7 linked regions of the Canis lupus familiaris genome follow. The protein of the gene in region 4 purifies or fractionates together with the protein of the main gene of each other region. This does not show direct contact. Links are inferred from orthologs where the notes say so. Each region holds a gene or a part of one and is shown on either strand. Other genes may lie near its edges. The genes, in order: CDH10, PKM, RAC1, CTNNB1, FHL2, SIAH1 and ZMIZ2.

Region 1 (3,500 bases), on a different chromosome or scaffold from region 4:
CCTATTCTGATTTATGACTACATTTTACATGAATTTGTAAATTAAAAAAAACATGTTTGTGAGGATGTCTAAGTTATAATAAATACTTATGGAAGTTTAGAAAATCTACATATTGTGTTCATGATATGATAAAAACAAAATTAAAAATTAAAAAAATAATCTTATTGTAAATAATCAAACTATGATCCCAGCCTAGAAAATGTTTATTGGTTGGGTGGTACAATTAAAGAAAAACTTATAATCCTTGTATTTTACAAAGCCATGCTGTGTCCCTCCTACACCTAAGCCCCACCACTCAGGGTAAGAACTCTATGCAGAGCAGGGGCTATTCATACCTGGAACCTACACATCAATTTCCAGAACATACTCAAGGTACTTGAAACTATTATTCCCTGCCTAAACATCCCTGGGCTTGCTTCTAAGTCCAGGGAGATTCTTTTCTTCAGGTCAACACCCAAAGGCCAGACGTATCCACTGTTATATTTGTCCTTAACTCTGGGGGCAGTCCTAGTGGGCATCTGTTAAAATACAGCATTGATGGAATTTACCCATGAAACCATGGAATCCTGGATAGCATTTGCACTGGGATGCGTGGCACACTGGCCTGAGAAGTCCTCATGAATTCCTGCAAAGCTCTTTGACGTGATTAGTGAATTCTAAAAGATGAGTGTTGTGGGCATAAGCAAAGGGCAAGAAACAGACTTGCTTTGCATTGTCTTTTTCCTGCACAAAACTTGTTTGAGGTTATGAAGAAACTAGATTTGACAAGGTAGGAGCCTACAGAGAAGCATAATTTATTGTAGAATTTATTAACTTGATTTATAATTTTAAAACATAGACATCGATTTGTACTCTTTCCCTGAGTTCCAAACCTACCTGTGGGGCAGTTGTTTGTGTGTGTGTGAACCAAAAAATAATACATAGTGTTTCTAACATAGGAGCTATATCTCATACAACTTAGCCTGTCTTACAGAATATCACTAATTCTCCAATGGAAATGCAATAACAAATAACAAGTTTATAAGCATTTCCTCAATAATATGAGAGTAAAAGAATTCTCCACTCACAGAAAGAGATGAGAGAAGTAATGTTTACACAGCATGTCAAGACTGATGACATATGTCTTTGTCAGGAGTTAATTGCCTATGAAAATGGTTATTTGCCAAGCAAAGCAAAGAGGGGAACTGTGTTTGGTTTATTTTTATTACTTTTATCCACTTAGAGTAAAAATCACACAGATATGTGAAAAGCTAGTCTTATTGTTTAAGATATATAGATGAGTGTGTTCATACTTATTCAACTTTCATTTCAAGAACTAAGATAACTGACCCCATTATTCTGTGTTGGGACGTGAGAGACTTTGAATTCTTTCAGCATTATGTACCTTTAGACATTATCATGGATATGCTCTTTTTTATTTCCCCCAGCTTCATTCAGACCAAGATAAAGGAGATGGATCACTCAAATATATTTTATCTGGAGATGGAGCAGGTACTCTTTTTATTATTGATGAAAAAACAGGTGACATTCATGCCACAAGAAGAATTGATAGGGAAGAAAAGGCCTTTTATACACTGCGTGCACAAGCTATTAACAGAAGAACTTTGAGACCAGTAGAACCAGAGTCTGAGTTTGTGATCAAAATCCATGATATCAATGACAATGAGCCAACGTTCCCAGAAGAAATTTATACAGCTAGTGTTCCAGAAATGTCCGTCGTAGGTAAGTTCATTTATAAGAATTATCATGGTATGCAGAAAGTATAAGAAATTATTATCAAGAAATTTTTAAAATACTGTGATCAGTTAACTGACATCTTCTTTGATTCCCTCCTAAGAGTACTTATTTAATTTCCTCAAGTAGAAAATGAGTGAGAAAAAAAAGATTAATCATTTTTTTACATGCTATGGATTTGTAAATCTTTACAAATAAGGAGATACACCCCTCAAAAACCCAAGAAAATACCACTGAACTTCAGTAGAAAACTATGAAAATATAGCATCTTTGTCACATAGCTTTGTATAATAGCTGTGTAAAATTCTGACCTCAAATATATTATAAGCACGTTCAGAACATTGTAGATGTAGAGTCTTTGCATACATACTCTAGTTATAATTTGTCTAAAGAATTTGTCTGGGTTATCTAGATAATACAAAAGGTGGCATTGATTACATTACCTGATTCATATTATTTCAAAACATCTTTTAATTATAATCATTAAATATAAAACTCTGCTGATATAAATCTGTTATTCAAATAAACCAGTTGAAATTCCATAATCACATACTGATACAGAATTTAAAATTTAGGTTGTAGGATCTATAAGACAGAGGACATGAAAAAGCTATAAGTATAACATTCAAGATAACAGCATTTTCTTTTTCACTGGAAATAAATGAAAATTGTATTTGTAAGCAGAGAAGTCAAGACTTCTTTTTTGTTAAGTGGAGAATGACAAAAATACATATTAGGAAACAATGATAACATTTTTTAGAGATACATGTTTAGACTTAATAGAAAAGATTTATTTCTCAAATGTGAGAGAAGTCATATAAACCGATGAAATAATTCTGATACTTTTAACAGTTATAACAGCACATTTTTAACTCTGCATTTCTCAAAAGCATTGTTCTGGGATTCTTATTTAATATTTACTTCCCTAAATCCCAAGGACTTTGGCAATTGCTTTATTATAAAGCCCCTTTATATTTCTTGAACTTTATTAAATTGCTTTTAATAGTTCATGGAACTTGGGATCATCTTGGATTGTTTCTAAATCTGGAATTTAATCTATTCATAAAATTGTATTCTAGAGCAGATGTTAATTATTTTTATAGTTAATTAGTGGAGAGGAGGAAAGAGAAGAACACCTACTCCTTTGTGATCAGATATGCCCTTTACACGCAACAAATCTATTATGTGAAAATGAATTTAAATATCAAACCTGAGCACTTGTAAAGTAACTGCATTTATTATCATCTGACACATTGTGGTCTTCTCTGTGCATGCATAAAAATATACCTGTTGGCTAAATAAATATACAGCTGAATTCACAATTTTCCTGTAATAACACTGTGTGTATGATTTTCATGTCAGTTATACATGAATATTTCTTTAAGAGGTCATTATAAAAGCCAAAAATCATTCAAGTCTTCCATGAAAACCAGTGCTTTTGCTCCTCCTTCTGGTACTGTGCAGAACTAAGCTGAATTTGGATACTTCAGGTACTTCTGTGGTGCAAGTCACAGCTACAGATGCCGATGACCCTTCCTACGGGAACAGCGCCAGAGTTATTTACAGCATACTCCAAGGGCAGCCATATTTCTCTGTGGAGCCTGAAACAGGTCAGGAATCATGAATCAGTGTTTATTAATTTAAGTCTTTATGGTCTTTAAAGTAGAAAAAAGGTGGGAAACGAAGAACAAAACATTAACAGTCATACTTACACGAGAGTGATGATGCCACACTTGACAATTTAAGAGTTCAAAGTTGAATGATTG
Region 2 (3,500 bases), on a different chromosome or scaffold from region 4:
CCCGCCCGCCGAGGTAGCCAGACTGGGTGACCCTTACTGCCTCCCACCACAAGGTGGCGCAAGCCGCCCAGCCCAGGGACCAGGGAGGCCCCGACTCTTCCTCATCAATTGAAATGGCAGCTGCCGGGGACCTTTGGACATCATTTTATACTCTAGAGGGTGGAGTAGTCCCTCTCATGCACGGACATCCTACTTTTATTAGGGACAAAGGCCATGAGTACGTGATCTGTGTGTAGGACACCCCATGATGTAACGCTCTAATCTTTTCTTAACCCTCAACAAGGAGCAGATGCCCAAGAAGGGACATTCCTGACTATCCAGGATCCTTTGCTTTGGGCCCCGGATGGGAAGACAGAGAAGTGGGCAGCTCAGCCCCAGAACTCCAAGGCTCCTCCTCCCTCCTGGGCTTAGCCCAGAACTTCAGGGAATGGGAAGGAGGAGTCAGAGAACGTTCCCTGGGAAGACAGCTAGGACTCTTGCACACTCCAAGGTCAGCATGTTCCCCTTTCTCTAGGATCCCAGGGAGATCAGTGCCCAAGCACCGTCCCCACCCCTCCAGGCAGGTGCTAGCCCTTGCTCCCAGCCACGCACCAACATTCATGGCCAAGTTCACCCGGAGGTCCACGTCCTCAGCCCAGGCCTCCTGCACTGGGTCCTTACACACCACAGGGAAGATGCCGCGGTACAGGTGGGCCTGGCGAGCAGTCTGGTGGTTCCGGGTCACAGCGATGATGGGGGCGCGGGGGCGGTATCTAGCCACCTGGTGAGCGGACCTGCGACAGGATGACGGCCAAGCAGAAGAGACCATTAAACAGTGTTCCAGAGCCTCCCAGAGCCCCCCACAGGGCCTTCAGCAACAACTCAGCCTCTAATCCAACTCATTCTGCCAGCATCAGACTCTGGCCACTTTAGCATCTGCTCCCCGTGCCAGGGCTGCCCCTCGTCCTCCACCTTCCGAGGAACAGAATCCGACTCTTCTTCCTATGCTATCTGTCCACTTGGCTTTTTACCCCCCTCCCCACAGCCCAGGGCCCCAGGATCACACCGACCCGGCGCGGTCAGTCTCACCCACTCACCCCACACGACTCAGTTGGCAGAAGCCCCTCCTCTGAACTTTCCCATCCTGGCACAGATACAGCCCTGCCCAACCTCACCAGCACCCATTCCTCCTGCTGCCAGCAGCAGCTACAAGCCAAGCAGCATGTGAATAGCACCTGACTCTTGGCATCTGCAAAGAACAGCAGCAGAGCTCACCAGCCCCCCAGGGAACCTACAAAGCCAGCCCTCTACTGCTGTGCCCTCTCCCCCAGCCTACATGGCCCCCAAGTCCCTAAAACAGTCCTAGCAACCCAGCTCTAGAGCCAAACCTGGGTATTACCCAGGAGGCTAGACCAGGAGATGGGAAGGTTAATGTGGGAGGCTCTGTCTGTGCAGAGTCCCCTGGAGGGTAGAGGGCCCCTCTGGGCCCCAGTGCCACATGCTTCCTTGAACATTGTACACTTGTGGCTGTAGACCGGTCTCAGGAGCTGGGGAGGGGCTTGCTTGCAGGAGGCACTGGGCGTCGGAAGGCAAGCCCTAAGGACACCGACAGGTGTCAGGGAAACTTAAGCCATGTCACAGCAGAGGCTGCCCTGCTAAAGGCCTGGCCCCCATACAAGGCTTCAGAGGGAAGCAAGTGCTGAAGTCGGGACTGGTTAGAGTGAAATCCCAGAAGACTGGAGCTAAAAATAGCCAAAGAGCAAAGGCTGGACCTTTCCACAAAGGTCAACCCTGATGGTTGGAGCTGTTTATCCGGAGCCCTCTGCTGAGGTAATCTGCACAGATCTCATGTCCCGGTTCTACACGCAACCCCACCTGCCGCACCTCCATGCTCGGGGACCACCAGCCTGACCCCATCCCTTCCCCTTCCAGGAATTCCTGTGGCCCTGCAGGCAGGGATGAGGAGCACACTCCCAGACTGGGGCAATGACAGAGGCTGACTCCATGTCCAGATGAGGAGGAGATCCCAAGCCAAGGCCAATCAGCAGCCTCAGCTCGGCGGCCCGACACTAGGGTGCCAGCAAGATGACGTGGTGACCTTTCCTAGGCCTGAATCTGCTTGCCTTTGGGGCTCAAAGACAGACAGAGACAGGTGCACCAACCCAACAGCACGTCAGTGAACAGCACTAATCTCCCAAACTGAACTTTTAAAGGGCATGTAGTGGCTGGAATGAACAAAACTGGTCATCAATTACTTTCTTAAAAGATGAACTTTCACATACTCAAGTGAGCATGTGCAGTCTGTCGTTCGGCAACGAAGTCTCTAGTCTAACCTCGGGTCCTCAGGCCCAGGTGGCAGGCAGAGGGGCTTACCTGGGCTCAGGGCCATCTGAGCCCCGATCAACGCACGGCTCTCGGGACGCCCAGGGAAGGTGCCCCGAGCAGGGCGTGCCCTGGGAGCCGCTGCCACCTCCTACCTGCCAGACTTGGTGAGCACGATTATGGCCCCGCTGCAACACTTGAAGGAGGCCTCCACGGCGCCCACGGCGGCGGCTTCTGTGGGGTCGCTGGTAATGGGCGCCAGGCGGCGGAGTTCCTCAAATAATTGCAAGTGGTAGATGGCGGCCTCTGCCTCACGGGCAATCTAGGGGAGCAACATCCGTCCAGAGGGACAGGAGGGGGACAGGACTGTCAGAGCGGTGTCGCACGGGAGACGGAGGGGAAGAGGCTCACAGACAGCTGGTGAGGGACGTGTCCCCGGACAGGAGGCCAAGAGGCGGCGGACAACTGGAGCCGCGGACCCGCGCAAGACCAAGGTTCATGGGAACTGGCCCATCACCAGGTGCCTGTGGCAGCCACTGTGCCTACCGAGCCGGAGGCCCTTGCGGTCCTGCCCTGCCCTGACTCCCTGGCTGGCTTCCTGCAGACGAGGAGAGGACTGGAGCCGGGCCCCAGCTGCAGGGCTGCGCCCCAGCCGTCTTCTAGATCAGCTGGAGCAAGAGGCTGGTTATCCTACGGAGTTACCTGCCCTTGGGGCCCTACCTGCCAGACTCCGTCAGAACTATCAAAGCTGCTGCTAAACACTTATAAGAAGCCTCCACGCTGCCCATGGCCATGGCTTCCATGAGGTCTGTGGAGTGGCTTGAGCCTCGCACAAGTTCTTCAAACAGCTTGCGGTGGAACATGGCTGCCTCAGCCTCACGAGCTATCTGTAAGGTTTGGAGGGGGGAGGAGAAGCAAGAAGAGGGAAGGAGGAGGGAGAAAAACGAGAGACAACACATGGAAAGACAGAATGGGGAATTAATCAGAGGAAGGTAACCTTAGGTTAATTGGCTAAATCTGTCCTTCATGCAGATGCGAAGAGGCAGCATGATGAAAGCCCAACTGCTCAGGGATGGCTGGAGAATTTCCAGCATCAACTGCTGCTGTTTCCTCTCCAAAAGAGGAAAAATGGGGTTTTCCATTCTGGAAGGATTTTCTGATTGGGGGTGGGGGGGTAGAGGGAGACAAGATGGCGGCAG
Region 3 (3,500 bases), on a different chromosome or scaffold from region 4:
ATTTTTCTCACAGAGGCAGAATTGCAAGACATGAGGCTTTTTCTTTACGGTATTTAGTTGTCATTCCATTCTGTAAACCACATTGGAGCCTTACGCAGACCTCTGCTTTGCTGTCTCAATGTAACAAGACCCTAAGTTTTAGTGTTGAGAGTTGAGAGTATGTAAAAATGATTTTGAATTTTATCTTACAGGCTGATATATTGTGTCTTGTTTGGTACTTGCCCTGGTTTGAATTGCAATCCCAGATTTTTTCTTTTTTTTTTTTTCCTTTTCAAGATTTTATTCCTGAGAGGCAGAGGCAAAGACCTAGGCAGAGAAGCAGGCTCCCCACGAGGAGCCGGATGTGGGACTCAATCCCAGGGCCTCGGGATCACGCTCTGAGCCAAAGTCAGATAGATGCTAAACCACTGAGCCACCTAGGCGTCCTCAGAATTAATTTTTAGTGAAGTACTTGGTGGTACTTAGTGATTCTTGTTTGTTTTTTAAGTCCACCTTATTTTCTGCCTGCCAGGCTTCTCTGGGCTGCCTCTTATCATTAACTAGTTTTTGTGTAACAACTTTAAGTTAATTTAAGTACATGTGTATACTCACTCTTGAAATGTTACATGATAGCTTTTCTTTTCTTTTTTTAAGATTTTATTCATTCATAGAAGAAAGAGTCAGGGACAGGCAGAGGGAGAAGCAGGCTCGCCTCACACCATAACTTTTCAAAGCATTGCTTTGTGTTACCATAGCAGTTTGGTTGCAGGCCTCGGTGACCAAGGCTTGATGGTGATTGCCCTGCACTTAGTGCGGGTGTTCTGGAAGCACTGTAGAGTATGGCTTTGTGGTATGCCACCTTGTTGAAGATGAGTAACGTGTACACAAGTCAACAAGTGGGTTTGAGAGAGGGACTAATTTATACTTTGTTTCTTTCTGGAGAGAAAAATCTTAATGTTCTCTTCATTAAAAACAAAGGTTTTCTCTTGCTGACAGTCATTTGTTTTAGTTCAGTGGACTACCTTGTCCTTTGTGTCTGTCCCAGGCGTGTTTCTCCAGGTGCAGTGTTTTCGCCTTCCCCATACCCTGCAGCCCTTTCTCCTTCCATGTGGCTGCTCTGGCTCCTTGTGCCTGCATGCTGGCACCTTTGCTTTCAGGGGAGCCTCCAGGCCACTCCTGGCCTTGGCACACCTCTGAGACCCTTGCTATGATAGTCACTCAAACCCCCCATCTATGCCTTATGTTCCAGGGCTAAAGTGTTTTTTCTCCATTCTACAGCTTTGACAATTACTCTGCCAATGTTATGGTAGATGGAAAACCAGTGAATCTGGGCTTATGGGATACAGCTGGACAAGAAGATTATGACAGATTACGTCCCTTATCCTATCCGCAAACAGTAAGGATCATGACTGCTTTTTAATGTGTCCTTTAGAGTATGTAATTTTGACTGTGTAATTGCGTATCACCTACAGGTTTGCTTATACAGTTGGCACTTGAATGCACAGGTTTGAACTGCAGAGATCCACTTACACCAGGACTTTTTTTCCATAAATACATTACGGTACTGTAAGCATAGTTCCTCCTCAAGATTTTCTGGTTTTTTTTTTTTTTTTTTTTTTGTTCCTCAAGATTTTCTTAGTGACATTTTCTCTGGCTTACTTTAGTGTAAGAATGCAGTGTATATTACACATAACATATTTTACATGTATTAATCAACTGGTTATGTTATTGGTAAGGCTTCCCAGTCAGTAGCAGGCTGTTTCTTAAAGTTTCGGGGAGTCAAAGTAATACACAGGGTTTTGACTGCATAGGGGGTAGTCAGCACCTTTAACTACCCGCGTTGTTCAAGGGCCAGCTGTATTGCCATCTTTAGTAGCAAGGTTAAGTTCGGTAGTGAATGTCCTAGATGAGGACCAAGGATTTGTTTCTAATTTTTTAGCCTTACCAGCTACTAACGATGGTGCTATGTGTTCTACATGCTTTCATTTTAATTTCAGGACAGCCGCATGAAATAGGTACTGTTTTGTTCTTGCAAACCAGTTTCAACAATAATTACTTTTAAGATCAGTTTGCTTTGTGCCACAGAGTCAATTTAAACAGTTAAGGTTTTAAAAATCAAGTTAATGACTTCTCTTTTGGAATTAATATTATTTTTCTAATAAAACACATGCTCATCTTTCTACAGCGTTAGTATCTAAGTCTTCTCAATGTATATTCAGGTTTCGGTTTTGTAAAAATATGTCCACTGTGTCCAGTCAGAAAAACTTCTAGATTAGTTTTGCTTCCATTTCAGAGAATTTTAAATGATGTGTGTATCAAAGTGAATCAGTAATAGCTGGTTAAAATATGCTTAGAAACCACTTTACTTGAAATAAGCAATTGTCTTATTTGTACCATTTGCTTATCTTGTTACACGTTTGTTAGTCATTTTTAAAGTGTTTTAAACCAACTCTAGAGGCTCAGATGACTCACTGGCCAAAGGAAAATGCTCTAGGGGCAGTCAAGTGAATTTGTCAGGTTGAAATCCCATGCTCTGCTTCCTAGCTCTGTGACCCTGGCAGGTTTCTTCACAGCTCTAGTCATGACCTGTTTTCTCCTAGGATTAGATTAGCAATCAGTATAAGGCACACTGAATAGTTCCAGGCACATCACAGACAGTCTAGTGTAGCTGAGGTGAAGATTCATAGATCTGGACAGCTCTTCAAGTCCGAGCTGGCTGGGCCCAAATGAACAGAAGTTGCTGTACATGCTCTCAGCAAGCTAGGATGACCAGAGGAGGATCAGGTGGAGACATTCTGGAGTTTTTTAAAGTTAACTTTCTATTTAGTAAAATAAATTTAAAACTCTATTTTTTAGATTTATTTGAGACAGAAAGCACGAGAGTAGGGGGAGGGTGCGAGGGAGAGAACAAATCCCAAGCAGACCCTGTACTCAGTGCAGGGGTCGATGCAGGGCTCGATCTCATGACCCTGAGATCGTGACCAGAGCCAAAACCAAGGGTCAGACACTTAACCAACTGAGCCACCCAGGGGCCCCTAAACTTAGTGTGCGCATGTGCAAATGGGGAAAAGGGGCAGAGGGAGAGAATCTTCAAGCAGACTGCCTGCTGAGTGCAGAGCCCTGTGTGGGGCTCAATCTCATGACCCAGAGATCACAACCTGAGCTGAAATCAAGAGTTGGACACTCAGGACACACAACAAACTGAGCCAGCCAGCTATTCCCCCCACCCCCTTCCTTTTTTAAAGTTTTAAAGTTTTTTCCATGCAACAGTCATTGTCTTTTGTGTTTATTTTTTCAGCTGGAGGAATTCTCAAATACAATTAATTTGAACTGTGGATTTTTGCTACATTATAGTAATAGTGTTCAATAAAGACCAAACCCATAAAATGCTAAGTCTGAATGAGTGATGCCTCATTTAATCTCCAGCTAAAAATTAACTGTGATTAAGTTTTAAAAGTCAGCTCATAATCCCCAAATGGTTCGAAGTCTTCAGTATGTTTAGGAAACTTCTGTCCCCAGTG
Region 4 (4,029 bases):
CCCTGAACCCCATTACCCCAGATTCCCATACTGGGACCACGTTTAGCCCCTCTTACACCATTCCACTCAAATTCAGGCATCCCAGTACTCCCAAGAATATCTCAACTTTTCCCCAATATTCTTCCTCTCACACTGATCAGAACAAAAGAAACAGAAACCATGTTGGTATGCAACAGTACTGTCCATATATCAATGGTATATCAAAGCAGATTTCTTGAAAATTTGAGCCAGAACAGGTGCTTAGAACTCCTAATGATTTGGCTCTTGGCTTTTCCTAATCATTATTCACCTACTTAAAATGAAGTATCATAAAATAATTACTCATTCTTGCCCTTTACTTTCCTGCAGACCCCTACTTCCAAACTATCCTGATTTTCTAAAAACAAATCTCCTCACTTCATGCCTCTGCTGATACTGAACTGCTTTCCATTACTTTTTAAAAACATATTCTACAAGGCCCTGAAGGACCTTCCCTGCTAATCTCAATACTCTCATCTCAAACCTTTCCTCTTCTTTACTCTGTAAATTCATCCCTCTCCTCTCTCAGTAGGACTTTCAAAGGTGTCAATTCCTCTCTCTCACCTTCACCTAGTCAGTCTTTCCTCATCCTTGTGAACTGAACTCCACTATCACTTCCTTCCACTGGTCTCTCTAAACCTTCCAAGCAGGGTGTGGTTCACGTATATGCTATCACAGCCCCTCTACTTCTTCCAGATACATGAATTAAATAGTAATTAGGTTATTATCTCTAATTAGTGCCTATCTTCCACCTAAGTATGAAAGCTCTAAGTATGCCCACTATATCCTTATCACCTAGCCTTATATAAACAAATATTTAAAGAAAAAGAGATGTCCAGCTTTTTTTCTAGGATACACACAAAGGGTGAGGCATACAAAGAATGTGCAAGAGTCCACAGAAGGACATGACACTGGATTCCCCAATGCTCCATGAGCCATACTCAGAAAAATTCTTTTACCTTGCTTTCTTGATTCCCGTAAGCTAAAATCTGAAGGCAGTCTGTTGTAATAGCCAAGAATTTAACATTTGTTTTGTTGAGCAAGGCAACCATTTTCTGCAGTCCACCAGCTAAACGCACTGCCATTTTAGCTCCTTCTTGATGTAATAAAAGGTTGTGGAGAGTTGTAATGGCATAAAATAATACAGAATCCACTGGTGAACTGGGAAGAAAAAAAAAGCCTCATCAGAAAGGCTGTGATGGCACCCTTCTCCTCCTTAGCTTCAAGCATCCTAACCATGTTTTCTTACCCAAGCATCTTCACCAGGGCAGGAATGCCCCCAGACTTAAAGATGGCCAGCAAGCCCTCACGATGATGAGAAAGATTGTGCAAGGTCCCAGCAGTACAGCGAGCTGTTTCCACATCATTTGTATTCTGCATGGTGCGTACAATAGCAGACACCATCTGAGGAGAACGCATGATGGCGTGTCTGGAAGCTTCCTTTTTAGAAAGCTGATGGACCATAACTGCAGCCTTATTAACCACCACCTATAATGTATAGGAATTAAGAGACAGAATTATGATTTTCAAATACTGATACCGGATAAACATTCTGAGGCTCCTTGAGAGTTTCCTTTAAAGCAGATTAAAAGCTAGCCATGTCCTTACTTACCTGGTCCTCATCATTTAGCAGTTTTGTCAGTTCAGGGATTGCACGTGTGGCAAGTTCTGCATCATCTTGATAGTTAATCAAATTTACAACTGCATGTTTCAGCATCTGTGATGGTTCAGCCAAACGCTGGACATTAGTAGGATGAGCAGCATCGAACTGTGTAGATGGGATCTGCATGCCTTCATCTAATGTCTCAGGGAACATAGCAGCCCGCACCCTCTGAGCTCGAGTCATTGCATACTGACCATCAATATCTGGAAAAAATAAATTCAACACTCACTGTCCATAATTCAGCATTCACCTGAATTTGTGCTACCCTAAGTGGTAAAGGTAACATTACAATCACTCCATGTTTTCTTTACCACACCATTTTATTTAAGCTATTACATACTAACTTTTTAAAGAATCATTCTTAAAATTGCCTTCTAACTTTTATTAAGGCAATAAAATACTTACCAGCTACTTGTTCTTGAGTGAAGGATTGAGAAAAGCCCTGTTCCCACTCATACAGGACTTGGGTGGTATCCACATCTTCTTCCTCGGGATTGCCTTTACCACTGAGAGAAGGAGCTGTGGTAGTGGCACCAGAATGGATTCCAGAATCCAGGTAAGACTGTTGCTGCCAGTGACTAACAGCTGCTTTTCTGTCTGGCTCCATGGCCATGTCCAGCTCCATCAAATCAGCTATAAAAATCAAACAATATTAGCATTACCACCATGGAGATGTTATATTCATTAAAATATCTGTGATGACCCATTGAAATATTGTTAGAAATAGTCAAATCTGAAAGTCAGCCAAGAATAAACAACGATAGCCAGGATTAGCTCAGTGATGAAATATCTATACTCTTAAGGGACCACCTAACAGTTACTCACTGAATTAGTGGAAGAATGGTACTGCATCCAGGCTCCAGAAGCAGTCATCCAGACTAGATTCCTGCTGGTGGCTTGTTTGCTATTTCACCAAGCCATTAGGAGGAGTGAGCAGAAAATGGAGCAAAAGGTAGCCTGACAAGTAAGCAGGGAGAGAGTAAAGCAGGGGGATCTGAGCCAGACTGGGTTAATGGCAATGAAGCAGAGCCCCGATTCAGTAACTAAAGACTTTTGATACAAACCTTGGGTAGCCATTCCCCACACAGGATTTTCAAAACCGTTGTATGGTGTGCTTCAGGTACCCTAAAAGAGTTAATCAAGTCATTAGGATTTAAAATTAGTTTTTAGTACTTTTAAGTCACTAGGATGACCTGCTAAACATCATGGATTATATCCACAAAAAGCCCCCAAATCCCCCTTTACCATGTGAGAGTGAAAGCCAGACTCCATGGTCTCCTTAATACACTCCCCACAGCTCCACCACTGCTGAACCTCTTTTAGTAAACACCTCTTTTTAGGTAGAAATACAAATTACAGTTATTCAGGATGTCAGAAAGCTTAATTATTGTTGAGGAGGAAGAAAATTTATAGTGAAAGCCAAGGTAGGAAATAACTCCTCGAATTCCCAAAATACCTCTCCCCTCTCTTTTTAACTTCTTTCACTGAAAAATTCAGAGATCTTTCTGGTGAGACTGGACATGGACTTTAAAAAAAAACTAGATTTTCACTAATGGTTTTTCTTTCCTGATAGAATACAAAGACATCTAAAATACAAAGTAGGTTTTGCTGACTGGATCAGAACACTGGGTTTGAGATCTGTTACTAACTAAAATTACTTTTCAAATGTAAATCTGCAACACAATAATCACCCTTTTAGTAAAATCTGTCTAGTTCAAATTTATAGTATGGATGTATTATAAATACAACTATTACCGACCAGAATGCTGTTTTGATCATTACAAAAAATATATATATATTACAAAAGTACTATATATATAAATACATAATTTATATATATGTAAATCCTAGCATCTATGTTTACATTTTGGCCTCACTGTGTAATAGGAAAACACTGAATCACATGGGAAACTACTTGCAAATTAGAACTGTGGGTCTTGTAAAGGCTCACAACCACCAGATATTCCTAATAATAACATTTCCTTTATCACAAAGTATTCCCGTAAACAAGTTCATCTTACACTACAACTTAACATATTGGTTTACCAATATGTAAAGATATGGACTAAAATATTTAAGCATGAAGTGAGTACTCTATCCATGTAAAAAGGAGTTTAAATGTTTAAAGAAGTTGGAAACTACACTCTGAAGTCCTATGTGCTCTATGTAAAGGAAGCATGTGTTAATTATTCCTAAAATTGCTCTTGCAGTACTAGATTTTTATAGCCACAAAGGTCACTTGATATGTAAAGATAACAAGAGTTATGGATACAATTGTTTAGTGTCCACAGTAGAAACACAACTGATGATCTTTTTTTACATGACAAAATGAAGGTCAGAAAATAATA
Region 5 (3,500 bases), on a different chromosome or scaffold from region 4:
CGGCTGCGCTCCAGGAAAAGCCCAGCTGCAAAACGGGGGCGGCACAGACTGTGCGCAGCCACAGCACCCCCGTCCTCCCCGGCTGGCTCAGGTATTCAGAGCACGTTTCTTTTTTTTCACTTCTTACCCTCCTTTCCCCGCAAAATGTACCTTGTTGCTGCCTGCAAAGCGTGCTTGCATACGCATCTGTCTTGAACACATCTGTCACCTCTTTCTGTAAAATACACATACTTTTATTCTCTTGGAAAAGTATTGGAAAATGTCCACAAATCCTGAGCATTTGCTGTGACTCCGGCTCAGGGGCGGGTTCAAGGGTGGGTGGGGATGGGGGTGGGGGTGAACCAAACAGCATTTCCGTTCTCTAGGACTTCTTCATCTACTTGAAGAAATCACATAAACATAGCACACGACAACAGTTATTCGAAAGGAAATGCAATGTCACAAGATTAGAATCAGAAAATTGCTAAATTAGCCATCCGGGCATCACTTGTGGCTTTTAACAGCTGCATTCAGTGCAGCGGGGAGAGCGTGGAGACCCAGCAGCTTGGTTTACACCTCGGGCCATATAAGGTGATCGGTCGGTGTGGAGGCTCCTCATGGGATCAGGCTTGACACTCTAGGTTCGTGTACAGCACCACCACTTTCCATCCGGTGTTTTTTTTTTTTTGTTTTTTTTTTAAGATTTTATTTATGTTCATGAGAGACACAGAGAGGGAGGCAGAGATGCAGCAGAGGGAGAAGCAGAAGCAGGCTTCCTGCAGGGAGCCCAGTGCAGGACTCGATCCCAGGATCCCGGGGTCCAACCTGAGCCAAAGGCAGATGCTCAACCACTGAGCCACCCAGGTGTCCCTCATCCTGTGCTCATTAACTGGCTGCAGGGCTGTGTCCCACTCCGTTGGGACTGGTCTGAGCTAGGCCAGCTTGCTCTTTCTGCTTTGCCTACTGAGACATGGAGTGACAGATCCTTTTCCCACCTAACGTTCATTACCTCCCTGCTGGACAAATAAACCTCGAGTATGCACAGAGACTGTTCTGGGAGCAAGGTGTACAGCAGTGAACCCCCAAAAATACACAATCCCTGCCCACTCCCAAACAGTCCCATTTGGAGGCCAGCCTCTGAGAGCCACAGTGATGCCACAGTCACAAAACTAGGTGGTGGCAGGTTCTTGACGAGGGGCGCTGGGAGTGCAGGCCTGTCATGTCGTCAGCTCTGCTCTTTGCCGTCTTCTTGCCCCTTGTGCCAGGTACCCGCAAGATGGAGTACAAAGACAGCAGCTGGCACGAGACCTGCTTCACCTGCCACCGCTGCCAGCAGCCCATCGGTACCAAGAGCTTCATCCCTAAGGACAACCAGAACTTCTGTGTGCCCTGCTATGAGAAACAGTACGCCTTGCAGTGTGTTCAGTGTAAAAAGGTAGCTCTCACCTCCCCCGGGACCTCGTGTATTCCAGTCTGTTTGCCTTGGCTGTCAGCCCCCTTTCCCCGGGGACAACACCCTTGGTACTGGGATGGCACAAGAGTCTCACCTGTCCGGCCCCGCATCCCAAAATTCTCATGTGCACGTGTGCATTTTATCCACTGGAAGGACCCCCATCCCAGGCCTTCTTTTGACCGCACAAGGGCCACTGGGACCTGAGATGGGAGCCTGTAGCCCTCCCTCCTAGAGCACTGCCGAGTTTTTGCTCCTATTCATGACATGACGTTAAAGGGGAGGAAAACTTACTATCCCAGAGCTCCTGTTACACTGTCCTCCATCAGTAGACAAGAAACGAGCTGCTGAACCTCGTGGGAGGGAGGGATGTGAGAAGCAAAGGAAAGTTGTGGCTGGGACAGGGGACAGGTCACTCGTTGCACCCAGCCCGCTCATCTCGTGCCGTGCTGTCACGGCCATTAGTCAAAGGCAGAAAAGGAGCGCCACGCCTGCCGTCCTTTGCCCTGGCAGGGCCTGCTGGGGAGCGATCGCAGAGCCTGTTTGGCTCCGGCCTGTTCACTGACGCGGCTGTTGGGCCTCCGTCTGCGGAAGAGCCCGGCTGCTGTTCCCTCTGCTGGTCGGCCTGACCTCGAATGCCCGACCTGCTGGCGCCTTTCCAAAGGGCAGAGTATTGCTCACTCGCCTTCATGCTCTCTCGTCTCCCTCGGCCTCGTGTCCGTCTCATTTTTTAAACTACGATTTTAAATTCCACATCTTCCAACTTCTACTCGTAAGATTATATTACTTTTCTGCTGTTTTTCGCTTCCTCCTTAGATGAATCGCTCCTTCCTGTGTTTATGTCAGGAAGCCTCTTTCTTCTCTGCTCACTCCCTTTTTGTTTGGTTTGCTCTTTCTCATCAAGATCCACGGAAAGTTCACGTCATTTGCTTTTCTTGCATTATCTTCCTCCCAACCTTATTGCTACTGTGTTCGGTGGCAGAAGTGAAGGTAATGCATCCTCCGGGAAGCACAGCCCTGTGGGTGTTCATCAGGACTGGTGGAAGCATTCACACCAGTAACATCCACCCTCCCGCAGCGCAGGAGGTGCTCGGGGCTACTAGGGCCTGGGGGGAAACACACTTCGGTGGCAAACGTTCAAGTGCTTATCGACAAGCGTGCTTTGGAGGAAAACAGTCGTAACAGAGCGTACACAGGGGCCAGCTGAACCAGTCGGAGGAGTGGGAGCCAAGCTGGTGTTTAGGGAGGGCTGCTCTGGGACAGTGACACCCACGAGCATGTCTGAGCCAGCTGGGCCATGCGGGGTGCGGGTGGGCATGTGGGTGCAGAGAGGACAAGAGTGTGGATTCCACGTAGAGCAAACCTCTTACTACACCCACCTTCTCTGTCCACACAGACACCTTGCCACTGAATGTATTTTGCATAAATTCTGTTCCAAGGCGGGAATTTATAGGAAGATCATTAATACATTATAGTTTAATGAAAAGAATATACGGTGCTCACTTCGGCAGCACATATACTAAAATTGGAACAACACAGAGAAGATTAGCGTGGCTCCCGCACAAGGATGACAGGCAAATTTGTGAAGCTGTTCCGTATTTTTTATGTTGGCAAATTGAATTTAAATTCTAAAAAAATTAAAAATAAATAAATAAAAAGAAAAGAATATATGATAGACTCCTGAATCCAAGTACCTGCTTTGTCTTTAGCTAGCAAATTCTCAGGCAAGTCCCTTAATTTCTCTGGGTCTCAGTTTACTCACTTGTAAAATGGATATAATGTCTGTAGTATGTAAGGGCCTTTATATAGTTGACCTTTGAACAACACAGAGTTGAAAGGGACCAACCCCCCTGCACAGTTGAAAAACCACATAGAACTTTTGAGTCCCTAAAAACTTACCTAGTAGCCTGCTGGTGACCAGAAGCCTTCCCGGTGGCATAAATAATCGATGCACACAGCTGTTGTATGTTATACGTATCCTAAACTGTATTCCTACAATAAAGTAAGTAGAGCAAAAAAAAAAAATATTCAGAAAGTTACAAGAAAAAAAGCATTGACAGTATGGTACTGG
Region 6 (4,186 bases), on a different chromosome or scaffold from region 4:
ACCCATCTCCTTTAATCCAGACAAAAGCTGCGTGAGGCTGGAAATTTTGTCCCCATTTTATGGTTGAGCAGGTGGTGAAGACTAGGTTTGGATCCAGCTGTGTGTAGGAGACTCCAGAATGATGCCACTTTTATTGTCCTGACTCACTTGTTGAGAGGTTTGTCTGTAGGTTAATGGTTTTCAGAGACTCTGTAGGGCTCTGTAACCTCTTTCGGAAGTTTGGGAAAAGTGATCCCCCCTCCCCCCCATCATTCCTTCTCTTTGACTTGTTTTATACATTTAGGTTCAGTTTTAACTCTGGAAAGGCAGGGATGCCTAAAACATTTGAAGTCGTCTGCCCTATCAGCCTGAGACCGCTCTAGGGTGAATGTATTAGGAAATGAAAATGTAGGTAATAATAATTTATATTTGTCAGTGAGCAGACTTTATCTAACTTCATCCATATTTCTATTCCCAATGATGTTTCATGTAGCCTAATATTAACGTGAGGTTGAAATGACTGAATACAATAGGGTCTGGAAGTGATTGGAACTAAAATTTGATTTGGAAAATGGGTAATCTACAATTTACTGCACAGGGTTCATTCCCACCATGAGCTCCTGCTGTGCGTTTAAAGGCTGCCCTATAAGCATGATATAATGACAGGTTAAACCCCTGAGTGTACCACCTGACGCAGGGCAAATCTGAGGCCCAGGACTTTATTGGGGCCCGTGTAATGCTTCTTTAAAAACACAAGCTTCTCTGTTTAATGAGGCCATTTAAGATGGTTTTCCCAGACTGGGAAGAGAATATAATCTCAGTTTGGAGGTTGAAGGAGTTTAATAGAGTTACGGGTGTTTACTACTCTCACTGCAATCTATTCGAAGGAAGAGAAGGAGTTTCAAGTATGATGTCACCAGGGATAGAAGTGGAGGAGTGAGTTAGAATTGAGGAAATCGGGTCGTTGACGCCCAGTATATAGTGAACGAAGTGGGGAGAGTGCTTTTACTCTATGAGCACAGTTCACACATGGTTAACCAGGAGAAGAGCACTTTTCTGGCCACGTAATTCTCATATACTCTATGTAGGTCTTAGGTTGAAATCATACAGAATTGGCAGCATCTGTTTTCTACAGAAAGACATGTTTCGAACTAAATGTAAGCTTGTGGAAATGGGTGAGGTTGCAGTGTTGCCTGGGGTCGAGGGCAGGGTCTGGGTTGTGCGGGGCAGCGCCCCAGCGGCCCTGGGCTGGGGGGCGGGGCTTGCGGGCGTGACCACCGCGCCGGCCCCGCCCCGCCCCGCCCTGTCCGGCCCCGCAGGCCCCGCCGGCCCCGCCCCGCGCTCGCTGCGGCTGGGCTGGGCTGGGCTGGGCTGGGCGCTGCGAGCGGAGGCCGGCGGGCGCTGCGGGCTGGAGCAGGCTCCCCCAGCACCGCCAGGCCCAGCCCTGGGCCCCGCGTGGCTCTCCGGCGGGCCGGACCCTGCGGCAGCTCCGAGCTGGCTCCGGGGTGCGCCTGACCAGCCCCCGCGCACCCTGCAGCCCCATCCTTCACCCACGCTGGCGGGCTAGTGAATGTGGGGAAGACAAACTTCCAGGGCAGGCGGTTGAGGGCCCAGCGGAGGACAGCTCCGGTGATGGCGCCCATTTTTGGAAACGCAGGCGAATTGGAGCTCGCGGGGAGGTGTGGTGGACTCCTGAGGGGACGGGAGAGGCTTCGTTCCTCTGCTGCTGCGGCAGCCGGTGCTTCGGAGGAGTGAATGGGGGATCCTAGAGCAGGGCGCTTACCTTCGCTGCTTGAAGACTTGAACTCCGACGTGCTTAGGAGCAGAACGTGTCCATCCAGCAGGGCCTCTGTTACAAATCGTGTTTGCTCCTGGGGGAAGGGCTATGAGCCGCCTGACTTCTCATGACCGGGAAGTCTCCCTTACCTTTTCCGTACTCCTGGAGGGGCGTCTTGCTCACATGTCTGCCAGCAGCTGGGACAAGGAAGAGAAAAGGTATTGACACCAAGAGACTGGGATGCTTAAAGTATGAACCGGGAAAAGTTGTGAGCTGGGGGAATCGGGATCAGGGAGTGGCTGCAATGTAATTGAGCTCTAGTTTGCATTGCTGTTTCTTTTGATCTACTGTACTTTTCTCTGTTTAAACCAAGCTTCAGGTTACGTCATCACTCCTGCAGGGTTGTCTGAAGACACTTGAGTCCGTGGTTCCTACTGCAGGGCTGCTCTGTGGTTGGGGTTCTTTTTGTTTGAAGATGGAGCTGGGTTCCACCTTTGGTGCTTTGGGAGGTTTTAGCACCTTCTGTCCTGTAATACCTCCATTCGCAAGAAATACCGGCCTCATTTCACTTGTTTTCACTCTTTAGAGATTTAAACTGTTTTTTTGTTTTTTGTTTTTTGTTTTTTTTACAATGTTTGCAAAAGTAATAAAGATAATATTGGAATGTAAGCCTGAATGATTGATGATTATGTATAGTTATTTGCTCGGTCTGGAAATGAAACGATAGTATTTTTCTTGCTTATATTTTCCTAGTTCTATTATTTTGAATACAAGCCGAGTTTACTGTTCCTTGATGTGATTAGCTTGTTTGGTTTAGTAATTTGAAAAGGCATCAGTGGTTTAGACTGTTTTGTGTGCAGGGAGCCACTTTCCAATTCTAACATTGCTCACATAAGTGAGCAGTATAAAATGGACCACGAGACAGGCATACAGCATATACGTGGGGCATTTTGGCAAGGCTGAGCCCGTTGTTTCCAAGTGGTAGAAAATGCATGGATCATCGTACTCACAAAGAATCAAACACCTGGGTTGTACAGTGTTTCAGGTGATGAGAATTGATTCCCGTTGTCCCTTAAGTCCATGTGACAAGCCACCTTATGGTGGAATTCTGTACTTTTGTAGACTCTTGAATTGTAGAATATTAACTTTAGTTGACAGTGGACTATTTTTTTTGTCACCTTCAACCCTCACTTGGTGTCTATCCTTGAGTAATCTAGAAGTCCAGTTGCTTTTATATAGTCACATGGGTAACCAGCGTTGTTTTCTTAAAGTCAGGTTCTTTGCAGCAATAATGATTACATTGAGGAAGCATTAAATTTGAGGCATTCAGTTTTAGTTTTGTTAGAAATATGGTTTGTATAGTTGTTGGGAATACAGTCTTGGGACATCAGTAGACTGATCTTTTGTTATCCCTGAGACAAATATGGCCTGTCATATCCTAACAAAGTAGATTCCTGGGAAAGGTATTTATTTGCTTTATCTTTCATTTAGCCTGACAAACTAGTTACATTGTTGTCGTTTCTTCCAGATGACATTTATCTCAAATAATATTTATTCCTGTGCTGATGAATGCTTCAGCAACACTAGTGAACCCTAGGATACAAGGAATTCTTAACCTGTTTACTGTCCCCAATGTTGCATGTGTCTCTGGTGTTTTAATCTTTATTCTTTAATTACTTCTTTTCTTCCCCTTTTCAAATTATATGTAATTTTATTGTGCAATGGAAATAGAGTAGAAAGATGTACTTTCTCTGAGTACCTAAAAACTTTTGAGATTACCCTCCATTTCTCTTCTCTTTCTCCCACCTTTATTATGGGGCCTACTGATCAGTAGGAAGTAAGATTAATTAACACGTAGCTGGTGTTCAGATTCTAGGGGAAGACTTAATAGATGAAGGTGCATGATGGGATGGCAGCAGATCCTTCCCCTGACGACCCCTCCATCCCTAAATCTACAACTGAAGCAGATAACTGTTTGCCATTAGGCGGAGTTAATCAGAGCTGATGTCCTGGGTGATCCTTTGGATTACTTGTGACTGACTCCCTGTCACTGTTTCGAGCTGCCTTAGAATGGAAAAGAAATGGACTGAGCAGGGCAATTGAACACCGAGGGAGAGGGGAAAGTTCAGTGAAAACAGCTTTGGTTGAACTTAAGCTACTTAACACAGGGTTTCTTAGTTGTTTACAGTCTGGTTTCTGTTTCAGCATTTATTCCATATTGTATAATTCATCCAAAGGGATTTTTTAATATTTTTTTAAGAAAGGGAATTCTACATGTGTTTTGGGACATTTTGATAAAAGAGATTTTATCTGGTCCACAACTCCTATAATACTCAAAATGCATAATTCGTGTAATTTGTGTTTTTTTTTTTTTTTAAATCCTTTACTCTTTTTGCTCACAGTATGTTTTTCATAAAACTTAAGTATTTC
Region 7 (4,129 bases), on a different chromosome or scaffold from region 4:
GATCCAGGTAAAAACTTTATGGTTGTCACTTCCACTTAGGCGGGGAGGAGGGGCTCTGCGTCCTTTCTTGGACATCTCGCCAGGGGCACAGACATTATTGGGTCCCACACAGGGTCATGCTGACTTGGTCCTTTGGGCCAGGTGGTGTCTGATGGGCATCTTTCTTGTAAAGGTACTTTCCTTTTTTTTTCTTTTTTCTTTTAAGATTTCATTTATTTATTTGACAAAGAGAGCGTGAGCGGGGGGAGGAGCAGAGAGAGAAGCAGACTCCCCACCCAGCCAGGAGCCAGACCCAGGGCTGGATCCCAGGACCCCAGGACCATGACCTGAGCCAAAGGCAGACACTTAGCCACCGAGGGGCCCAGTTAAGATACTATCCTATGCTCATAATGAACTGTAGCCTGGAGGAAGATCTTGGCACCATAAATATTTTCTTTCTTTTCTTTCTTTTCGTTCTTTCTTTTCTTTTTTTTTTTTTTTTAAGATTTTATTTATTTATTCATGAGAGACAGAGAGAGACACTGGCAGAGGAAGAAGCAGGCTCCATGCAGGGAGCCCGACGTGGGACTAGATCCCGGGGCTCCAGGATCACGCCCTGGGCTCAAGGCGGCGCTAAACCGCTGAGCCACCCGGGCTGCCCTGAAATACATTTTCTTACGTGTAGTTGGCACAGTAAAAAACATGAATTGTGGGGTGACTGGAAGAACATGGTCTCCCTAAAGCCAGGGCAGAAAAAAGGACTTAAAGGGTAATAGTAGCACGTGGAGGAGCCAGCGGATAAGAAACGGCGCTTGGTCCGCTAAAGGGGCGCAGCGACCCAGAGACCGCAGCAGCACGTGCGGCCAGCCCGGCTCCCCTCCCGGACCCCGGACCCCGGCCCCCGGCCCCCGGCCCCCGGCCCCCGGCCCCGGCCCCGGCCCCGGCCCCGGGAGGCCCCGCCCTCAGCCAGGCCCTACCCCCCGGAAGGCCGGCCTTTTGCCAGGCCCCTCCCCTCCCCTCCCCCGAAAGCCCCATCTCTCCCCGGGAGGCCCCGCCCCTCCGGCCGGCCCCGCCCCCAGCCGGGCTCCTCCCCTCCGCCCGGCCTCTCTCAGATTGGCGCCCCGCCCCCGCGCCCCCAGTCCTCCGGCCGGCCTCCGTCTGACCCGCCCCGCCCGCACTCAGGCCCCGCCCCTCCAGCCGCCCCCGCCCTCGACCGGGCCCCCTCCGCCAGGCCCCGCCCCCTAGCCGGGCTCCGACACCCTTCCCTGACAGGCCCCGCCCATCGGCAGGCCCCGTCGCCGCCGCCCGCCCCCGCCGCTCCGCCAGGCCCCGCCCCTCCATCAGGCCCCGCCCCGGTGGCAGGCTGCAGGGCGCGCGGGGGACTCCGCAGACACGGCTTTCGGACAGGTGTGGAGGGGGCGGGGGCGCCGGTGGTGGTCCGCCGCCGCTGGCGCTGCCCGGCCCGCCCCCGGCCCGCCCCCGGCCCGCCCCCGGCCCGGCCTGCAGCCCGGGCTCCTGCAGGCCCGCGGCCGCCCCGCGCGAGCGCCGGCTCTGGGATCCACTGCTCTGGCCTGGGGGCGGGGCCGGCGCGCGGCGTCATGCATATGCATGAGCGGCGCGGCGGCTCCATTGTGCCCTCGGAGCGGGCGGCGGCGCGATGGCGCGGGTGGCGGCGGCGGCGGCCCCGCGGCGGCGGGCGGCGCGGAGGGCGGGCTGAGCGCATGGAGCGGCGTGGGCCGGGGGCCTCGGCGGCGAGGGGCCGGGCTAGGCCGGGCGGAGGTGAGCGGGCCGGGTGGACAGGTGCGGGCGGCGGGGGCGGCAGGTGCGGCAGGTGCGCGCGGCGGGCAGGTGCGGCGCTCGGGGCCCGCGCTGCGGCGCCTCTGCCGGGCTCGGGCCGGGGTGGAGGCGGCCCCGCCGCCCACCTGCCGCACCTGCCGCGTGCGCGTCGTGCTCTCGGGCCCTCCGGCCGGCGCGCGGGCGGCCCTCACCTGAGCCTTTGTTGGGGTGGGCTGGAAGCCGGCCGGGCGCCCGAGGGGTGTGCGCGGCCCCGGCGACCTCCCGAGCCGGGAGGATGGCCCGGGGCCCTCGCCCCGCCTGGCCGCGCCGCCGCCACGCCGCGCTCGGGCTCGCCTCCGGGCTGGCTCTGGGCCGTGCGCGCCCACCAGCTGGGCGGCGTGGGGCCGCGGGGCCGCCCGAGGCCGGCGGAGCAGGCTGACCTTTCAGCCTCCCGCCGTTGTTTCTAAGGGGACACCCCTCGTCCCAGCCGCGCCGTCGCCGGGGCGGGAGGGTGCCCTCTCCCAGGACCCCCGTTTGCCTCTCTCCCTGCCCCGCTCTCCTTTCCCTCCTGCTTGCTCCCCTCCGGCCCGGATGCGCCCGTCCCTGCCCAGCTCTGTTCCTGATGGTTGCAGACCATCCACAGCCACGTCTGTAAGTCGGTTTCGCAGGGGCATACACGGAACGTGTGACTTGATCTGGGGGACGGTGGTGGATGCAGGGAGGGTGAGCAGACTCAGCCACCGCTTCCTGGGGAGCTAGAGCCCTCGGGCCTCCATCCAGGCTTCGTGAGAGGGGGGCCTGGCCTCCCCCAGCAGGTACTGGGCCTGAGGACTGGTCATGCCCAGGGGCTGGTTACAGGCAGGGGACAGAGGTCAGGGAGGAGGAAGGTAATGACAGGCAGGCAGGGTGCGCCTGGGGAGGACTCCAGGGACAGCCCGACTTCCTCACGAAGTGTCCACTGGCACTGCGTCCACTACAGGACTCAGGGTTTGAGCACAGAATGGCAGGTGTGTGTCCTCCGCTTTCCTAGGGTGGCTGCCACGTACCCATTGTGCACCCAGGCCCTTCGTAAGTGCTCGTTCCTGGGTGCTTTAGATGGGCTCCAGCACTTAGGCTGGTCGGTGTTGTGGCCTCACGTGGAGAGCAGCAGGACTTCCAGCCATCCAAGCATGTGAGTCCCCCCCTTGTGTCGTCCTGCCTCACTGAGCCACCATTTCCACCTTCTCCAAGCCCATCAGACTTGGGTGTCCCTCTGCTTGGACACGTGCCCTGGAAGCACAGGCTCCCTGCTGCCGGAGTGCCTGCCCCAGGACCACAGAGCAGGCGTGCCTTTCCGAGGTCAGGTGGCCTGTCATGGGGTGTGCTGCTCCTGGCTGACCAGGCGGCAGGGACGGAGGAGAGGTGCAAGAGAGCTGACCCACATTAACGTCTGCCTGTGGTTGGCACCCAGGAGACTGGGTGCAGCTGCTCCGAGGCCCTGGGAGGGGGTCTGAGTAGCGAGTTTCTGTAGCCGTCTTTCTGGGAGATGTGACCCAACCCAGAGAAAGCTCCAGGCTAACCACGTGCCAGGGCGGTTCTGCCGAGGGGTCCTGGCTTCCCGCTGGAGCTGTGGACAGCAGAGCCTCGGACCAGCAGAAGGGCCCCCGCCTCAGGCCTGCTCGGGCCTCCTTGTGCGCACGTGCACTCAGGCACACACGCACACACACACCAGGGCTTCTCCAGCTGTACCTCTCAGGCCAGGAAGTGAGAGGAGGGTCTTGCATTCAGAGCAGGGCTCTCCCTTTGTCGGGAGCAGAGGGCCATGGGGTACCCAACTTGGAGAGTGCAGGTCTCCCCAAGGAGGAGACCAGACTTAGTTTGGCAGGAAGTCACACACACACACACACACACACACACACACACACGCCCTGCACACCCAGACACCCATGCATGCAGTCAGCTCAGGGGGAACTGGAAATCTCTGTGGTCTCGTCCATAGCAGAGCAGCCTTTGGGGTGGAATTCCCCCGACCCATGTGATGTAGGAGTCGTCCTGGGGCCCCAGACCAGTAGCCTCTGCCTCCCCCACTCTCCACCTGGGGTCCCTGTAGCGGCAGCATCCTCACCCAGGCTCGTTAGGGATGCGGGTCCTCAGTTCCAGTCCTACAGTTGTGTGTGATGCGCCGGAGCTGGAGCTGGGGCCGCGGGAGTCCTCAGTGGTGCTCCCCCACCTGGCCAGGGGCTCGTCTTCCACCCACCCTTTGCTTCTGTAACCACAGAGTGGGCCTGGCCAACCCCACCAGCTTTGTTGTAGGGAAGGGTGGCCCTGGGCATTTCAGTGGAGAGAACAGGCCAAGCGGCGGCGGTTTTCTCATTAAACTTTTATTTTGAGGGAA

Evidence for each region.
Region 1: the proteins of CTNNB1 (region 4) and CDH10 purify together in Homo sapiens (affinity purification with mass spectrometry; 3 studies listed by BioGRID and IntAct, with this or other methods). This does not show direct contact. The link is inferred for Canis lupus familiaris from reciprocal best matches to the Homo sapiens genes CTNNB1 and CDH10.
Region 2: the proteins of CTNNB1 (region 4) and PKM purify together in Homo sapiens (affinity purification with western blotting; 5 studies listed by BioGRID and IntAct, with this or other methods). This does not show direct contact. The link is inferred for Canis lupus familiaris from reciprocal best matches to the Homo sapiens genes CTNNB1 and PKM.
Region 3: the proteins of CTNNB1 (region 4) and RAC1 purify together in Homo sapiens (affinity purification with western blotting; 4 studies listed by BioGRID, with this or other methods). This does not show direct contact. The link is inferred for Canis lupus familiaris from reciprocal best matches to the Homo sapiens genes CTNNB1 and RAC1.
Region 5: the proteins of CTNNB1 (region 4) and FHL2 purify together in Homo sapiens (affinity purification with western blotting; 3 studies listed by BioGRID, with this or other methods). This does not show direct contact. The link is inferred for Canis lupus familiaris from reciprocal best matches to the Homo sapiens genes CTNNB1 and FHL2.
Region 6: the proteins of CTNNB1 (region 4) and SIAH1 purify together in Homo sapiens (affinity purification with western blotting; 4 studies listed by BioGRID). This does not show direct contact. The link is inferred for Canis lupus familiaris from reciprocal best matches to the Homo sapiens genes CTNNB1 and SIAH1.
Region 7: the proteins of CTNNB1 (region 4) and ZMIZ2 purify together in Homo sapiens (affinity purification with western blotting; 3 studies listed by BioGRID, with this or other methods). This does not show direct contact. The link is inferred for Canis lupus familiaris from reciprocal best matches to the Homo sapiens genes CTNNB1 and ZMIZ2.

What each region holds. Positions count from the first base shown.
Region 1 is NC_049225.1:82,132,518-82,136,017, forward strand, and holds part of CDH10 (cadherin-10), read left to right. Parts: intron 1-1,427; coding exon 1,428-1,722; intron 1,723-3,224; coding exon 3,225-3,344; intron 3,345-3,500. UniProt on the Homo sapiens protein: Cadherins are calcium-dependent cell adhesion proteins. They preferentially interact with themselves in a homophilic manner in connecting cells; cadherins may thus contribute to the sorting of heterogeneous cell types.
Region 2 is NC_049251.1:36,154,083-36,157,582, forward strand, and holds part of PKM (pyruvate kinase PKM), read right to left. Parts: exon of another isoform or gene 3,189-3,500; coding exon 3,022-3,188; exon of another isoform or gene 2,624-3,021; coding exon of another isoform or gene 2,457-2,623; exon of another isoform or gene 1,912-2,456; intron 1,810-1,911; exon of another isoform or gene 774-1,809; coding exon 592-773; exon of another isoform or gene 1-591. UniProt on the Homo sapiens protein: Catalyzes the final rate-limiting step of glycolysis by mediating the transfer of a phosphoryl group from phosphoenolpyruvate (PEP) to ADP, generating ATP.
Region 3 is NC_049227.1:11,830,575-11,834,074, forward strand, and holds part of RAC1 (ras-related C3 botulinum toxin substrate 1 precursor), read left to right. Parts: intron 1-1,257; coding exon 1,258-1,375; intron 1,376-3,500. UniProt on the Homo sapiens protein: Plasma membrane-associated small GTPase which cycles between active GTP-bound and inactive GDP-bound states.
Region 4 is NC_049244.1:10,789,144-10,793,172, reverse strand, and holds the start of CTNNB1 (catenin beta-1), read right to left. Parts: upstream 2,801-4,029; 5' UTR 2,759-2,800; coding exon 2,746-2,758; intron 2,315-2,745; coding exon 2,087-2,314; intron 1,885-2,086; coding exon 1,631-1,884; intron 1,507-1,630; coding exon 1,268-1,506; intron 1,180-1,267; coding exon 978-1,179; intron 1-977. UniProt on the Homo sapiens protein: Key downstream component of the canonical Wnt signaling pathway.
Region 5 is NC_049231.1:39,109,777-39,113,276, forward strand, and holds part of FHL2 (four and a half LIM domains protein 2), read left to right. Parts: intron 1-1,244; coding exon 1,245-1,414; intron 1,415-2,924; exon of another isoform or gene 2,925-3,032; intron 3,033-3,328; exon of another isoform or gene 3,329-3,421; intron 3,422-3,500. UniProt on the Homo sapiens protein: May function as a molecular transmitter linking various signaling pathways to transcriptional regulation. Negatively regulates the transcriptional repressor E4F1 and may function in cell growth.
Region 6 is NC_049223.1:65,986,453-65,990,638, forward strand, and holds the start of SIAH1 (E3 ubiquitin-protein ligase SIAH1), read left to right. Parts: upstream 1-1,386; 5' UTR 1,387-1,883; coding exon 1,884-1,974; intron 1,975-4,186. UniProt on the Homo sapiens protein: E3 ubiquitin-protein ligase that mediates ubiquitination and subsequent proteasomal degradation of target proteins.
Region 7 is NC_049237.1:14,026,627-14,030,755, reverse strand, and holds the start of ZMIZ2 (zinc finger MIZ domain-containing protein 2), read left to right. Parts: upstream 1-1,329; 5' UTR 1,330-1,386; intron 1,387-1,674; exon of another isoform or gene 1,675-1,758; intron 1,759-2,384; exon of another isoform or gene 2,385-2,406; intron 2,407-2,785; exon of another isoform or gene 2,786-2,926; intron 2,927-4,129. UniProt on the Homo sapiens protein: Increases ligand-dependent transcriptional activity of AR and other nuclear hormone receptors.